Saccharomyces cerevisiae S288C: one gene and its partner. The protein of the gene in region 1 interacts with the protein of each later gene in a biochemical or structural test. Each region holds a gene or a part of one and is shown in the gene's direction. Other genes may lie near its edges.

Region 1 (3,764 bases):
AGTGTTTATGTCAGTTTCTGCAATGAGACCATATGTTTGACTTAAAAATGATAACTTTGGGTGCTCTCTTGCATAAGAAGGCTGCGAACAACACATCAAATCAATTCTAGTCTCTATCGATTTAATTAAGCATAAAGTTGAGTACGAAGGATTGTTTGTCCAGTGGCAGGATACGCTCATTGCGTTACCTGATCCGCATGGAATTTCTGTAATGGCGATATTGTTGAATGCTTTGACATGATCAGGCCTTTGGTATAACCCATTGATCACCTCATGAGGAATGCCATCTCCCGAAGCGCAAGCAATAGTGTCATATTTGTCAATATCCATTTCCCGCGCGATCTCTATAGCATGACCAGGGTATTTTGTATAAACCACTTCTATGGAACACCGACTTGCTAATAGTAACGGCTTTGCCTTTGTCATAAACAGTTTTTTCGCCTTACCTTTACCACCAAACGGATTAATGATCACAAATATGGATTTGTTCCTTCTAGTGTTTTTGTAGCTTCTCTTTAAAATCTCCTCAACCAAGTCATCTTCTTCTTTTAAGTGAGAAGATGAATGGGGTTTATAGTCAATATACAATGAAACCCTTTTGGGTACAACGTCATGCCGTCTTGGCCTAGCAAATATAACCTCTACTAGTTTCGTAAAAGGAGATCTGGAAGTCAGGAGGCTACTACTACTGTTACTTCCTCGCGATAGCGAGTTGCCCTTCCTTTCTTTTTTTTGGGAAGACTCTAATTCATCAAGATCACACTTTTCACTAATGTTACTCATTGAGCTGCTTAAAGGTGAACTGGGTGATGAATTGGCATCATAATAATGCAGAGGTTCCTTTTCAATGTATCTGGCATCCAGAATTCGTCCATAGGGGATAACGGTGTTTGCTGGCAATTGACCATTCACCGAAGGATAATGAAGTTTTGGATTAGCAGAAAGATCATCTTTACTTGTATCCGTTGTCGATGTTTCCGATCTGTCTATTGTATCAGTATCGCTTAAACAGGTAACACAGCTAATTAGTGAAGCCGTTTCAAATATACTGTTGTTATCACTGTTGCTTTGAAAGCTAGTTCTACTGATGTTGCTTTGAAAGCTAGTTCTACTGATGTTGTCAATGCTGCTGCGACTTCGTTTATCTGCCATTCTATTTGCGTATGTGTAAGGACTTGATGGTTTTGCCTTGATCATTATTCCTTCCTCAGTCAGTATCGCTGACGTTATTTGCTTCTTCCTGGAATGGCGAGACCTGCCCTTACGTCTCTTTGAAGGTTTCAAAGTCATCTCTTTTGGCTTACTGTTTAAATCTTACACTATTTGTGGTTTTTTCGAGATAATATCAAGAGTCCTTTTACTCTTCTTTTCTTTCCTATTTTGCAACACGTATATACAACAGTTTATGCTGTAGTTATACTTTTTTGATTGTTTTTGTATAAATAGATTCGGCTCACGCAGCTTACGTTCCCTTTCTTCTTCGCCTGCGAAGGCTTTAACAAGGCCCGAAAACACCTTGATTTGCAAATCTAACTATGAATCTTGCAGAAAAGCGGTGGCAACTGAAAGGGAAAAAAACATAGATTAAAAGAAAGCAACATAGTAACATAAAGGAAGAGAAAATTTTGATGATAAAGAAGATGAATAATATACCTAATGCATCCAAATGTTCCTCCTGTTATACTATTGGGAATTATTGCGAGTGCATCCATTCGCGCAATGATCAAGTAGAACGCCAAGACTAGTTGTGCAAAGAAGTACAGTTGAAATTCCAGCCAGTTATGTCTCATCCCTATTCCACTGTTTTTGTAGGTATACAATGGTGTTACGAGCAATTGAAGCTGTTTATTGCCTGGTATTACCTCTGGAAACTTACTTTATAGCCGCCCATCTGTATATGTCATCATATACGGACCTCGTGGAATTTTCCAGAAAACCAAATGGGGAGGGTGACTTTAATTTTGCTTCGTTTTGCCCGGAGCAGAATCCAGACGGACATTCATGTATATATATTGAAGGAGACTAAGTTTTACATTCATTATGTAAGGTCGTGGTTGCGTCTTCATGCACTTCCTTGAATAATATAAGAAAATTCCCACGAGAAAACATCATAAGCAAAAAAGTTTTCAAAATGTTGAGATCATCCGTTGTTCGTAGTCGCGCTACTTTAAGGCCTTTATTGCGTCGTGCTTACTCCTCTCATAAAGAATTGAAATTCGGTGTAGAAGGAAGAGCCTCCCTTCTTAAGGGTGTCGAAACTTTAGCTGAAGCGGTTGCTGCTACTTTGGGTCCAAAGGGTAGAAACGTTTTAATCGAACAGCCTTTCGGTCCTCCAAAGATTACTAAGGATGGTGTTACAGTTGCCAAATCTATTGTGTTGAAGGACAAGTTTGAAAATATGGGTGCCAAGTTACTACAAGAAGTTGCCTCCAAAACCAATGAGGCTGCTGGTGACGGTACTACTTCTGCTACTGTCTTAGGTAGAGCCATCTTCACAGAATCCGTCAAAAATGTCGCCGCTGGTTGTAACCCTATGGATTTGAGAAGGGGTTCTCAAGTTGCAGTTGAAAAAGTGATTGAATTTTTGAGCGCCAACAAGAAAGAAATTACCACATCTGAGGAAATTGCTCAAGTAGCAACCATTTCTGCCAATGGGGACTCTCATGTTGGTAAGTTACTAGCTTCAGCTATGGAAAAGGTTGGAAAAGAAGGTGTCATCACTATCAGAGAAGGTAGAACATTGGAAGATGAACTTGAGGTTACTGAAGGTATGAGGTTTGATCGTGGTTTTATTTCTCCATACTTCATCACTGATCCAAAGTCGAGCAAGGTGGAATTTGAAAAGCCATTGCTATTGTTGAGTGAAAAGAAAATTTCTTCCATTCAAGATATCTTGCCAGCTTTGGAAATTTCCAATCAAAGCAGAAGACCTTTGTTGATCATTGCTGAAGATGTTGACGGTGAAGCTCTTGCGGCTTGTATTTTGAACAAGTTGAGGGGTCAAGTTAAGGTTTGTGCTGTGAAGGCGCCTGGTTTCGGTGATAATAGAAAGAATACAATTGGTGATATTGCAGTCTTGACGGGCGGTACTGTTTTTACTGAGGAGTTGGATTTGAAACCAGAACAATGTACCATAGAAAACTTGGGTTCTTGTGACTCTATTACCGTTACTAAGGAAGACACCGTTATCCTGAACGGTAGTGGTCCAAAGGAAGCTATTCAAGAGAGAATTGAACAAATCAAAGGCTCCATCGACATTACCACCACAAATTCATATGAGAAGGAGAAACTGCAAGAGCGTTTGGCCAAATTGTCCGGGGGTGTTGCTGTCATCAGGGTCGGTGGTGCATCTGAAGTTGAAGTTGGTGAAAAGAAGGACCGTTACGATGATGCTTTGAACGCTACCAGAGCTGCAGTTGAGGAAGGTATCTTGCCAGGTGGTGGTACTGCCTTAGTGAAGGCATCTAGAGTTTTGGATGAAGTTGTTGTCGACAATTTCGATCAAAAATTGGGTGTCGATATCATAAGAAAGGCCATTACAAGACCAGCCAAGCAGATCATTGAAAACGCTGGTGAAGAAGGTTCAGTTATCATCGGCAAATTGATTGATGAATATGGTGATGATTTTGCCAAGGGTTACGATGCCTCTAAGTCAGAATACACCGACATGTTAGCCACTGGTATCATCGATCCATTTAAAGTGGTTAGATCCGGTTTAGTTGATGCTTCTGGTGTTGCCTCACTATTAGCTACTACCGAAGTTG
Region 2 (2,525 bases), on another chromosome or scaffold:
ATGGCTTTGCTAATTCAGACGACCCCCTTGAGGTGAAAAAATAGTCTCAGTAATGAAACAATCATAGGCAATTAGTTCGATTTTTTATAATTATCTTCCAGCCTTTCAAATATTGAAAGGCCATCAACTATCACTTACACCTGAGTGTTGTCATTGATCCGTAAAGTAAAAAGAGGCAAGTTTTGTGCATATTCGTATCATGCACAATGGCCTAAGGCAAGTATTTTCAGTGTTTTTTTTTTTTCATTGCCGTTTTGCTATTCAGAATATATTGAATTATATGTATAATGCATACTTAATAGAAAGAAGGACGCTAATTTTCGTTATAGAACAGTAGTTTCAAAAAGTGCTTCAAGTTTATAGAAATCAGTGCATCCCTTCACTGAACGATGAAGAACACCACCATTTCAGAAATTTTTATACATAATCAGTTGGCTTTCGTATCCTGCCTCGTATCTTTCTCTAAATCATTTAAAAATCCTTCAATACTCTTTACGACATCATCGTCCTTTCCCATAGCATCTGAGTTTGAACTTTCACCGCTTTTTTGTTGGCTCAAGGCAGAACTATTCTTGCCTTCATTTTTGGTTTTTGGTTTCGTGGTAAAGTAAGATGCCACTGCAGCAGTAGCGATAAACGTAGATATAGCCAATACGTGAGGTTGAACCGTCTTCCCAAATACTTTGTATGCAGCACCCATTGAGATAGCTATATTTATTTTTGTATATCTTATGTTTAGAAACAGTAGCGACCTTTCTTACTTGTTCCTTCAAAACTTGACTTAGATAACTATTTACCCTTAAACCGTTAGCTCTGTATTATGGACTGTGAAATTACACCTCGTTACCCGAAGTTCTATTATATTTTCAATCCATACTCCTATGATCTCTTCATTGGGAAAAAAAGGTCCACTTTCTCCTGGATTGCTCGAAGGCTTTCCGTAAAGAAAATACCTTTTATTTTTCTTTGCTTTCTTTCTCCATTAAATAGTAAACGCCTCTTTCTGAGGCAGCTGGCTAAAAAAATGTAACAAGGAATTTTATTTTATTACGGTTCAGCAAAGGCCGTAACGATAGTTGTATTATTTTCGTTCATATGTAGCAGCGATGGTAGCATTTTTTATTGTATAAATTGTGGCTTGCGTCGATTATCTTATTATGCCACTCATAATAAAAAGTTACTCTCAAAATGTCAATATTCAATAATGCATGTCTGTCTTTTTAATTTAGTACATACGTAGGATTAGGTATTGGAAGCAATCATAATGAGTTCTAAAGTTGTTATTTCTCACTTATTGCACCTCTCGAAGTTCTCTCATTAGCCGCCCAATTCTCATTCGTGTGAAGGTCATTAACGGGGTAATGCCCGTCATCAATGATAGAAATTTCTAGAATCTTGAAGGAATGGGAAAAAGAAGCTTGATTATGTATAAAATTAGTCAAAACGCTTATACAGTACAAACTTATTATGTGCTAGGTTTAAAATAATTTCTGATAGAAGCCATTGATCGAAAATATATTGAATCTACAGAAAAAAAAGAATGTCCACCCTTTTGAAGTCTGCTAAATCTATCGTTCCATTGATGGACCGTGTCCTTGTCCAAAGAATCAAGGCACAAGCAAAGACAGCATCCGGGTTGTATTTACCTGAAAAGAACGTGGAGAAGTTAAACCAAGCTGAAGTTGTTGCCGTAGGCCCGGGCTTTACTGATGCTAATGGTAATAAGGTTGTTCCTCAAGTTAAAGTTGGTGACCAAGTTTTGATTCCACAGTTTGGTGGTTCTACCATTAAATTGGGTAACGACGATGAAGTTATTCTTTTCAGGGACGCTGAAATCCTGGCTAAGATTGCCAAGGACTAAGAATGATGTCTTCTTCAACAGAGATTTTATATACATACTCTATATGTATGTACCTGTAAATAGGCCATTATGTATGACAGGAAAAAAAAATAATTGAACTCAAATTTCTTCTGCTATTCAGTTGCTGCCCCCAATTGTCTGCTAATAAAATTGATCTATTCATCAATAGGAATTTTAGGGACACTATGTGTACAAACTATCCGCTCATATTTTGCCGAATAAGAACAATGATTTCTTCTTTTTTTTCTTCTTCTTTTTCTTGTCGTTACGATCATCACTTTCAAAAACATCGCCACTGCTACTATTCCTTCTACTGGATGATTTATTTCCAGAGGAACTTCCACTTTTAAACACCTTAAAAATCCCAACTCCACCCCCAGTGAAGGTGTTCACAGTACTAAAACTAGACGAGCTTTTCTTTGACCCTGCACTACTTGAGGAGTCATTAGTTTTGACTTTTCTTAACGCACCGGCACTTTTAACTTTCCTCAAAGGAATGCTATTATCAACACTACTGCTTTTATCAGATGGATCAAAGGAATTTTCTTTGTCGAAGGAAATACTGTGCCTTATATCAGGCAGATTTCTGGCTTTGCCAAGGGCGGCTCTTCCATCTTTGTGTTTTACAGAGGTTGCAAACTTGATTTGGGACGTAGGCGAGCTA

Evidence for each region.
Region 2: the proteins of HSP60 (region 1) and HSP10 form a complex in vitro, tested with the Saccharomyces cerevisiae proteins (one study listed by BioGRID).

Annotation. Positions count from the first base shown.
Region 1 is NC_001144.5:663,370-667,133, reverse strand, and holds the start of HSP60 (chaperone ATPase HSP60), read left to right. Parts: upstream 1-2,131; coding exon 2,132-3,764. Other genes in the region: sphinganine kinase LCB5, read right to left, coding at 1-1,290. UniProt on the Saccharomyces cerevisiae protein: May participate in assembly and/or disassembly of proteins imported into the mitochondrion. HSP60 are ATPases and have affinity for unfolded proteins.
Region 2 is NC_001147.6:369,860-372,384, reverse strand, and holds HSP10 (Hsp10p), read left to right. Parts: upstream 1-1,540; coding exon 1,541-1,861; downstream 1,862-2,525. Other genes in the region: MCO10 (Mco10p), read right to left, coding at 428-700; YOR019W (uncharacterized protein), read right to left, coding at 2,066-2,525. UniProt on the Saccharomyces cerevisiae protein: Eukaryotic CPN10 homolog which is essential for mitochondrial protein biogenesis, together with CPN60. Binds to CPN60 in the presence of Mg-ATP and suppresses the ATPase activity of the latter.